Linked DNA regions of Caenorhabditis elegans. The protein of the gene in region 1 purifies or fractionates together with the protein of each later gene. This does not show direct contact. Each region holds a gene or a part of one and is shown on either strand. Other genes may lie near its edges. The genes, in order: mcm-7 and rnr-1.

What was found.
Region 2: the proteins of mcm-7 (region 1) and rnr-1 fractionate together in Caenorhabditis elegans (co-fractionation; one large-scale study listed by BioGRID). This does not show direct contact.

The regions. Positions count from the first base shown.
Region 1 is NC_003283.11:4,345,091-4,350,309, forward strand, and holds mcm-7 (DNA replication licensing factor MCM7), read left to right. Parts: upstream 1-2,075; 5' UTR 2,076-2,107; coding exon 2,108-2,209; intron 2,210-2,257; coding exon 2,258-3,094; intron 3,095-3,139; coding exon 3,140-4,188; intron 4,189-4,249; coding exon 4,250-4,454; 3' UTR 4,455-4,678; downstream 4,679-5,219. Other genes in the region: figl-1 (Fidgetin-like protein 1), read right to left, coding at 323-906; hpo-18 (ATP synthase subunit epsilon, mitochondrial), read right to left, coding at 1,119-1,154, 1,202-1,330; F32D1.3 (dolichyl-phosphate-mannose--protein mannosyltransferase), read right to left, coding at 4,776-5,102.
Region 2 is NC_003281.10:9,224,826-9,230,406, forward strand, and holds rnr-1 (Ribonucleoside-diphosphate reductase large subunit), read right to left. Parts: upstream 3,426-5,581; 5' UTR 3,424-3,425; coding exon 3,298-3,423; intron 3,254-3,297; coding exon 2,975-3,253; intron 2,928-2,974; coding exon 2,197-2,927; intron 2,150-2,196; exon of another isoform or gene 2,025-2,149; intron 1,975-2,024; coding exon 1,324-1,974; intron 1,276-1,323; coding exon 696-1,275; 3' UTR 550-695; downstream 1-549. Other genes in the region: T23G5.3 (uncharacterized protein), read right to left, coding at 4,410-4,517, 4,591-4,705, 4,759-5,061, 5,111-5,238. UniProt on the Caenorhabditis elegans protein: Provides the precursors necessary for DNA synthesis. Catalyzes the biosynthesis of deoxyribonucleotides from the corresponding ribonucleotides.

The DNA.
Region 1 (5,219 bases):
AAAACGCTTGTGGAGTATTAGAGTATTATCATCAAAATGACGCGAATATTGGAGTTTTTTCAATTAAAATAATTTATTAATGGAAAAAAAATATTAAAAATAAGCACAAAAATGATAAAGGAATAGGAAAAAAACGAAGAAAAATTGAATATCGCTATCAAAATTCGAAAAATGTGTCTTTTTCCGAGAATCAAGCCCGTAAATCGACACAAGCGCTTCATTTAAAGAATTACTGTAGTTTTCTTTTTCGCTACGAGATATCTTGCGCGTCAAATATGTTGTGAAATACGCATTCTCAGAATTTCGTGATCTCTTAACGAACCTGGTCTTCTTAAAGTGCGGATTTGAAGCCACCTCGATGCCTTTCAGCGTATTTTCATGCATTTGCCGAATAAAATTCGGATCAGTTCTTCTAGCATTTGTAGGATCCACTATATCGCAGATTTTGTCTCTGATTTTCGTCACTTTATCGTCGCTTCCAAAATCGAAGCCTCGCATTGTGAACGGCTCTTCTCGGCGTTTTTCCTCCTTTGGTTTCGGAATTTCGCCAAGTTTGAAGCTGCTTTTCTCGCCAAGAAACGGTCGACTTTTGAGCTTCCGGGTGTCTTGTTTTTGTGAAAACGACACATCAACGGTTCTATCTTCGTCTTCATCAATTATTATCCCGTCTAGCTCGTCATCCAGACCATTTTGTTGAGAACGAGATTTGAATGGAGGCTGCTGCTGAGCTGAATCCGAAGGTGTCTCCACGACTATTTTTCGACGGGGTTTTCCGATAAAATACGGACTAATCCCATTGCGAGCAAGAGCCGTCGGTGGGTAAAGATCATCGTTATTTTCGCCGGTTTCGGGCCGTTTTCTCATTCCACTGGTCACATTGAGTTTTACCCGTTTTGGAGAATACATAATCTGAAAATAGTGTTTTTTGACCTGAAAACCCCCACAAAAAAATATTCAAAAAGACTGGGGTAACTTGAACAACTTAAAGGCAAAGGAATAATTGAGCTTAAAATTTATATCGTCTAATAAAATAAATCATAAACAATCGGAAGTGAGAGAAGAAAGGTATGGAATGTATCCAAATGGAATTATTCGAATACTGTTGTGCGATCATTTGTCTACTTTTGCTGCTTTCCATTTTCCCATGTGGTGATCTGAAAAATTCGTGTTAAAACTTGAATAATAAGGCGTATTTAATCACCTTGAGAGTTGCCTCTGGCTTCTTAACAGCGGCCTTTCCTCCGACTTGCTTGGTGCACTTGCGGGTGATCTCGGCAGCGATTTGCGAGTAACGCACGTAGTTGAGTCCAGCGGCTCTCCAGGCGACCATTTTCTGAAAAACATGAATAAAAAAGAAATATTGGAAAAAAGCGACTAATTTTGCACAAGAAAACAAAGAAAAACCGCAATTTTACTAATGAAATCTATCGATTTTAGCAATTAGAAAAGCTATTTTACAATTTGCGATTAAAAAACATTAATTTCATCTAAAAACAGCCAAAAATCAATGAAAAATCACAATTCTACTCTTGAAACAAAAAATGTGTCGTTTCTGCAGCAATTTATCGATTTTCGAAATTATAAAAGCTATTTTACAATTTGCGATTAAAATGTACATTAATCCCATCTAAAAACTAACAAAAAACCAAGAAAAACCACAATTTTACTGATGAGACAAAAAAAAACATTTTTTCTCAGAATTGCCTGTCGTTTCTGCAGCAATTTATCGATTTTAGCAATTATTTTACCAATTTTAATTAAAATAAACATTAATTCCATCTAAAAACAACCAAAAATCAATGAAAAAACGAACAATTTTCTTTAAAAACAGCTAAAAATGGCACAGTCCATGTCGGAAAAATATAAGTTAAAGGCGCATAGACTTTCGCACTCTGGTGGGTCTCGCAACGACATGAAGGAGGCAAACGCGCGAAATTCGAACGGACGACGCTGCCATCTGCCGCACATTCCTTCACTCTCTCGCTCATTTATTATCGGTTTTGTGCTACAAGAGCAGCTTTTTTCGCGATTTTTTCAGTTTTTCCAATTAAAAAATAAAATTTCCATCATTTCAGCCCGGCTCTATAATCCTATAATCTCACTCACCATGAAAACCACCACTTACAACACAGACTGGGCTGCCGAGAAGACGAAAATTCGCAGTTTCTTCGACGAATACTATGTGGACAATGAGGACGGATCTGGAAAGGTATTCCCGAATTTGGTGTATAAATGAGTATTTAAATTCAACTTTTAGGCATTCCCATATCGTGATCAAGTCTTTGAAATTGCTCGCCGCGACAAGCAGGCAATCGTTGTGAATGTTGACCATATTAAGGAATCTGATATTCCAGATGCTCTTGAACTCTCAGAAGCCATTACTTCCAATACAAAGAGATACGAAGTCCTGTTCAAGGACACAATTTCGGATATGATCCAGGACTATCTCGGAGACAAGCAAGCGCCAGTAATCGATGCTCTTGATGCCTACATGTTCCAGCGTCTTCATATGGATAGGAACGAGGGAGCCGCCAACGAGGAAGTTTCTCTTCAGGACAAACGCAAGAAATACCCACCACAGCTCCTTCAACGCTTCGAGGTCTACTTCACAACGGACGATGCCGCCCATGAAACGTGTGTCCGAAACATCAAAGCCACCGAGATCGGGCACTTGGTCTCCATGAAGGGAGTTGTTATCCGTGCGACCGAGGTGAAACCTTGTGTTGAAGTCATGACCTACACTTGCGATACTTGTGCCGCCGAAGTCTATCAGCCTGTGAAGGGAATGCAATTCACCCCACCGGTCAACTGTCCCAACAAGGAATGCGTTGAGGCAAAAGCCAACGGAAGACTTCACATGCAGCTTCGTGGATCGAAATTCGTCAAGTTCCAAGAGCTCAAAATTCAAGAGCTCAGCGAGCAAGTCCCAGTAGGATCGATTCCTCGCACAATGACTGTTCACGTTTACGGGGAGATGACGAGAAAGTGCAATACTGGAAATGTCGTGCATGTTTCTGGAGTATTCTTGCCAATTATGCAGTCTGGCTTCCGACCAACTGGAGGACTCGTTGCCGATACCTATTTGGAAGCTCACGTAAGTTAAAACTTGAAAATTATCAAATTATTCGTTACTCTTCAGTACATCAACAATCTTGACGACAACCCAACTTTCAATGGAGTTCAATCCGCCGAACTGGAAGTTCTCCGTCGCAAAGGAGACAACTACGAAACTCTTGCCGCCTCCATCGCTCCGGAAATTTTCGGCCACGTTGATGTTAAAAAGTGCCTTTTGATGGCTCTCGTTGGAGGAAATGACAACAGCTCGAACGGAATGAAAATTCGTGGATGCATCAACGTTCTGATGATGGGAGATCCAGGAGTTGCTAAATCTCAACTTCTCGGCTACGTGAACCGGTTGGCTCCACGATCTCAGTACACTACTGGTCGTGGTTCTTCTGGAGTTGGTCTCACGGCCGCTGTGATGAAGGATCCCGTCACTGGAGAGATGTCTCTCGAGGGTGGTGCCTTGGTGTTGGCCGACGGAGGAATTTGCTGCATTGACGAGTTCGATAAGATGATGGATCACGATAGAACTGCGATCCATGAAGTTATGGAGCAGCAGACCATCTCGATTGCCAAAGCTGGAATCATGACGACACTCAACGCTCGTACGGCTATCATCGCCGCTGCCAATCCAGCCTACGGAAGATATAACCCAAATCGTTCCATTGAGCAGAACGTTGATCTTCCAGCTGCACTTCTCTCCCGTTTCGATTTGATTCTTCTCATGCAGGACAAGGCTGATCGTGAGAACGACAAGATTCTCGCTGAGCACATCACATATGTTCATCAGCACGGTTGCCATCCAAATCGTGAGAAGAAGGATCTCATCTCGCTTGAGACACTTCGCGAGTACATTTCTCTTTGCAAGACGTATACTCCAACTGTCGATCCAGCTCTTCGAGAACGTATTGTCGAGGCATACGTTGAGATGCGCAGAGATGCTAGATATTCGTCCGATCCAACATTTGTGTCGCCAAGAATGATTCTAGGAATCGTCAGAATGGCGACAGCTCGTGCTAAGCTTCGTCTATCCACGATTGTCGACGAAAGTGACGTTGAAGAAGCTCTCCGTTTGATGCAATTCGCTAAGGACTCGCTCAGACCAGAACAGAACAAAATTGAGAAGTAAGTTTTCAGAAAATTATTTATAGCGAATATTTTAATCATAAAATTATTTTCTTTTCAGGCGCATGGCTCCAGTCGATGCTGCATTCGCCGTTCTTCGTGAGCTCTACCATGCCGACAACGCCCCGATCGCCATCTCAAACGCCATTCAAAGATGCGCTCGCAAGGGAATCAGCGAGGTTGCTCTCAAGAAATGCCTGGATCAATACACTGCTAACGGTCTCTTGGTCATGGATCGCCAGAACATTGTGTTCGCTATGAATTAAAATTAATTGTATAATTTCGACGAATTGCCTTTTTAATTTTCACCCCCTCCCACATTTAATCACACACTATCTAAATAACTATCGTAAGATTGTACTATGTTTGACAATTTTCACAATTTTTTCCTTCAACACATTCGTATTCTGATCTCAAATTTTTTTCGTTGTTTTTTTTTGTTTCGCCTTTACGGAGAATGATGCCGATGAGCATAATAAATTGATTATGGAATTAAATTTGGAATAGTTTATTTCAAATACACGTAGTTTTCAGTAGATTCTAACCCGTAAGTAGTCACCGATTTTAAAATAGTTATTTAATATTAATTACAAATTTCTTTTCCTCCGTAAGATCCGAATCACTTTCTTGCGATTTTCTCGTGCCACGTCACTCGTTGGATCCAAGATCAGTGCGATTTCGTATTCTTTCAGAGCCAAATCGTACTTCTGATTAAGATGAAGAATTGCTCCGTAGTTGGCGTGAGCCGCATACGAATTCGGTTGAGCTTCCATCACTTTTCTGTAGAAAGTTTCAGATTCCACGTGGTTCTGAGTTTGTTGCAGAAGATTCGCGATTCCTTGCAGAGAGTCGAGATGAGTTGGATCCAGATGGAGAGCTTTTCGATAGAAGAGCAACGAGCGATTGTAGTTTTGCTGAAACGGATTTATTAATGATTTGTTTATTGTGGAGACGCAGAAAAATTCGCTTTTTAAATCGAGGTGAAAGCGCGCTCCAACGCCAAACTTTGGGTCTCGTTAGGTATTGGCGGG
Region 2 (5,581 bases), on another chromosome or scaffold:
ATCTTCATCATTTCGTGTGTCTCATAGCTTCTCTGAGTGCTCTTCTGAGCCAAAAAAGCCAAACCGAAACAAAGTCATCAATCGTTTTGAAGTCGAAATGAGCAAAAACGGAAAAAGAACCCAAAAAAAGACAAAAGAGACGATGAACAGCTTCCAATGACGAGACAGGGAGGAAACGAGTAGTAGTTTATTTGAAAAAAAGAGCAATGAGCAAAAAAACCAAGAATCAAGCTAATCTCGCTAAGAACCGGGGGCCCATCTGACGAGAGGAGCTCTACGCATAGTTCAATGTTTCTATTCCGGCTCATTGAGCACACGAAAAGAGAATCGAAAGGGCGCATTTGAAATCTGCTCGATTGACGGTTCACTAAACATTACCCACGTACACCTTCAGTCGAGACCCACTTTTGTTGCACCATGATGTTGCTGAGAGAGTATTTAGGAAAAAAACTACTAGAGCATGAGAAGAGGAAAACTTCCGAAGTTTCGGATGTAAACCTAACACGGTTCCACATTTTTCAGCTCCTGCAATTCAAATCGCTCGAGGACTCAGATTGTCAGTTTATTGACCATTAAAACTTTAGAAAAAATGAGTAACCGCGAGCAAAATAGGGTTATCAGTATAACAGATTAAAGTGAAAAAGTGAGCAATTTGGGAATGTACAAACATGATCAACGGGTGAAAGAAAAAATGATTATCCGGAGCACATGAGGCATCCTTCATCTTGCGACTCGGCCACGGTGGCTGGCGTCTCAGCTTGTTGGTTAGTTTTCAGCGCATTCTTATCCACAGTGAATTGAACTGCATTGACAGCTGGCTTGGTACGCAAATAGTACATTCCAGTCTTGAGTCCCTTCTTCCATCCGTAGAAATGCATTGATGTGATACCGGCGTAGCTTGGCTTGGCCATGTGAATGTTAAGAGATTGGGATTGATCAATGTATGCTCCACGATCAGCAGCCATCTCAATAATGTCTTTTTGAGAGATCTCCCACACTGTGCGATAAAGTTCCTTGATGTCGGATGGAATTCCATCAATGTTTTGAATGGATCCATTGTTGGCAATCAGACGATTCTTCATCTCATCAGTCCACAATCCTCTTTCCACCAAATCCTTGAGCATGTGAGGATTCACAATCTGGAAATCTCCAGAAAGAACACGGCGAGAGTAGATGTTCGAAGTGTATGGCTCGATGGATTCATTGTTTCCGAGAATTTGAGCAGTGGAAGCAGTTGGCATTGGAGCCATCAGAAGACTGTTGCGGATACCATGCCTGTAAATAAGTAGTTTAATCAGATTCGAAAGAGTATTTTAATCTTACTTTGCAATTTTCTTGCGAAGAGTGGCCCAATCGCATTGATCGGTTGGAGTGACTCCCCACATATCAAATTGAAGCTGTCCTTTCGATACTGGAGATCCTTCGTATGTCGAGTATGGTCCATTCAACTCAGCCAATTCACAACTGGCTTCCAATGCAGCGTAGTAGATGGTTTCGAAGATTCGTTTGTTGAGATCTCTGGCTTCTGCCGAAGTGAATGGGTAACGCATCAACATGAAGCAATCAGCGAGTCCTTGGACACCAAGCCCGATTGGGCGATGGCGCATATTAGAGTTGCGAGCCTCCTCGACTGGATAGTAGTTGACGTCAATAATCTTATTCAAATTTCTGGTTATAACTTTAGTCACCTCAGCCAGTTTGACGAAGTCGAACTTTTTCTCGGGGGTCACGTAGCGATTGAGAGCAATGGAAGCAAGGTTGCAAACTGCAATCTCATCTGGAGCAGAGTACTCTATGATTTCAGTGCACAAGTTGGAACACTTGATAGTTCCAAGATTTTGCTGGTTAGACTTGCGATTGGCGGCATCTTTGTAGGTGATGTATGGAAGCCCGGTCTCGATTTGGTTGGAAACGATGTGCTCCCAGAGCTTGCGGGCCTTCACCGTTTTGCGGACTCGTCCCTCGGCTTCGTATCTGGAAATTTTGATATGAACTTTGCAAATTTAACTTCACTGTTTAAAAGTTTTTGTTAGTTGATTTTTGTCCGGAGCACACCTTTTTTTTTGAGTATATTCCGGTTATCGATCAACTATTTCATATTCGAAGTTAGTAAACTCAGTCCAAGCAGTACTCTTAAAGTTCTGTCTGGATATCGCACTTCGGTAATTAAAAAAATAAGAACCAGGAGATACTTACTTGGCGTAAAGAGCTTCGAACTCCTCTCCCCAGCAATCATCAAGTCCTGGACATTCACATGGGCACATCAACGACCATTCTTGATCCTTCTCGACTCGCTTCATAAAGAGATCTGGAATCCAAAGAGCAAGGAACAGGTCTCTGGCACGTTCCTCTTCCGGTCCAGTGTTCTTGCGGAGAGATACAAACTCGAAGATATCGGCGTGCCATGGCTCCAGGTAAATAGCAAATGCTCCTGGGCGTTTGTTTCCTCCTTGATCAACATAACGAGCAGTATTATTGTAGACACGAAGCATTGGTATGAGTCCGTTAGATGTTCCATTAGTTCCAGCGATCACAGATCCAGTGGCGCGAATTTTGTGAACATTGAGTCCGATTCCTCCGGCACTTTTTGAAATAAGAGCACACTGCTTCAATGTATCGTAGATTCCGAGAATGGAGTCTTCACTCATTGTCAGAAGGAAGCATGAAGACATCTGAGGACGGCATGTTCCCGAATTGAAGAGAGTTGGGGACGCATGGGTCATGTAACGCTCCGACATCAGATTATAGGTCTCGATTGCGGAAGTAATATCATCTCCATGGATTCCAATAGAAACACGCATCAACATCTGCTGTGGGCGCTCGACAATCTCCTTGTTTATCTTGAGAAGGTAGGAACGCTCCAGTGTTTTGAATCCGAAATAGGTGTAGGAATAGTCACGATCGTAGACGATGGCGGAATTCAGCTTCTGAAATGAAATTTTTTTGAATAAATGCAATTCCTAGGAAAACTAACATCAGCATTCTTCTCAATGATAGCCCAAGTCTCATCACTGATCATTGGTGCGTGTTTTCCGGTATGAGGATGATGGAACTCGTGAAGGGTTTTCATAACTTCCGAGAACACCTTATTCGTTTTCTTGTGCAAGTTCGAAACGGCGATTCGAGCGGCAAGAAGAGCATATTCCGGATGTTGTGTGGTCATGGAAGCAGCAGTCTCTGCAGCAAGATTATCCAACTCAACAGTTGTCACTCCTTTGTACAAGCCACTGATAACTTTGATTGCAACAGCGACCTGGAAAATTTAATTCATCATTGAACTTGTGTTTAATAACAAACCGGATCGACAAAATCCATGTTCAATCCATAGCTCAGCTTCTGAATTCTGGAAGTGATCTTGTCGAAGTGTACATCTTCCTTTCGCCCATCCCGCTTGACAACATAAGTGCTGTTGTAACGTTGCATAACTGGAAAAGATGAATTATTAACAATTTGAGAAGAAAAGAGTGAAAATGGAGGAGCGGAGAGAATTTTCAAATGACCAGTTCATCTCAAATTTACTAGTTTTCGCGCCTAGGTAATAGAGGAACGCGCGAAAACGAGACGCAGACCAAACAAACGCGCTCCATCGGAATTCAAATTCAAAAGGAAAACGAATTATTGAAATCTTGGTCTCATAGAAAAAACAAGTATTACAGTGAAACAGAATACATTATATTTTCCTACGAATTCTGGCTTCAATATGGTTTTCTGATAGAAGTGAGCTAATGTCGAAACACACAAAATTGGCCTAGAAATTCAAACCGAAAATCCACGGTCCTGAGCATTTCTAACTACGGCAGTTTGAAATGAAATATTAATTCACAGCTGAAGAATTTCATTTAAACAAAAAATGTGTTTAGTTTTCTGTGTGAGGAAAAAATCTATTTATACCCTTCGGCACCACAAGCACCGCCTCTAACCATGGCTCCGCCCTTTAGGACAAGTCCGATAATCGCATTTCATTGCTCTGAAATTTAAAAAAAAACGTAAAATTCAAAATAAAACCACATAAAAATGCATAAGATCAGAAGAAACCCCGAAAATAAAAGCTGTAAAACACAATTTTGCCGCGGGTTACTGTAATGGTCTCGACACGAAATATTGTATTTAAAAACTTTATGCGTGCGCCTTTGAAAGAGTACGGTAATTTTTTAAAGAAAAAAACATGTTTCGATGAAATAATATTTATATTCAGTTTTTCCTTAAATTTTCAAACTGCGGACAAAAAAGCGTAGTTTTTTATTTTCTGATGTTTTGTCAGAGATCACTAAAATTTGCTGTCGGTCAATTCAGACAATAAAAAACCACCAGCTGTGATTGCGAATTTTCGAAAATTCGAAAAACGCGTATCTGTTGGCATGCAAGACATGACATAAATAATTTATTTTGACACAGATATATTCAAATGGTTAGTGACGAGATGTTCCATCTCTTGACTGCATTAATCCTCCAGTTATGAGCACTTCCACGCTATGGCTCTCCTCATCCGCATTTTTGTTGACAACATTGTATACCGCCTGAAAATAGATAAATGAATTTTAATTTTATAATTCTATAGATATTCTACTAATTTTCAAGAAAGTTACTCACACTAAGATCAACTGCCTCTGCAGCAGCATCACAGATTTTCCTCACAGTCGGATCATCAGTCATTTTCTTATCAAAAAGTACCGATGCACCATTCCAACCAACATGTGCAATATGTCTGAAAATAAACTTTTGTAAGTAATTAATAGATAAAAGATATCCAAATCTCACGTAAAGTTCCTTGGAAGACTAATCGAATCTGCAGACGTTTTAATTTTTTTGGAATTTCTGCCAGTTGGAGGTTTTCTCATCGGAATTTGTACAGTATCCTTCGGCTGCATCAATGACGGAAGTGGTGGTGGTGGAGGTGGAGGTGGTTTCGAAAGAAGAAGATTACGTGGGACAATCGGAACATTTTCTTTTTGGGTCAAGATTTGGTTCGGTATTGGAGTTGATGGAAGTTCAGGTGGGCAAGTACAAAATGTTCGCAGCTTATGTTCTATCATGTTTCGAAGTGGTCCAATTTTGAAAAATCTATAATGATTTATACTTTTTGCAATATTCTGATTTGTTCCGAACTTACACCGCTTCACGTAAGATTCGCATAAGCTGATATTCGTCTTTTGGCAATGAACATTTCTCATGATCTCTTAGAAAGTTGAGAATAACCGGAAATACTGAAGAATCACGGTCGATGAAGAGTCTACCATCCTGAAATAAGCATTCAAATTTTCCCAATCTACCGTAACCCCCATTCTTGCCTACGTCACAAATTGACGTCACAGGCACCCAACAACCAGTTGGTCATTGCTTTTGAACAGTGCGCTACGTCACACCAGGAGGAGGTCAAGGGAATGGTGTTAGTGGTTGTGGTGTCGGGTGAAAAGTATGGCAACGGGTGGTGGTGGAAAATTATTTGAATGATTCAATGGGCCTGCAGATGTTTGATGACGTAGACATATACGCAGAGTATTTAACACAAGGCATTGGGAATCTTGGGGAAGGTTAGTTGACCAAATGAGGTTTTATTCTATTTAATGGAGTGTTAATATAT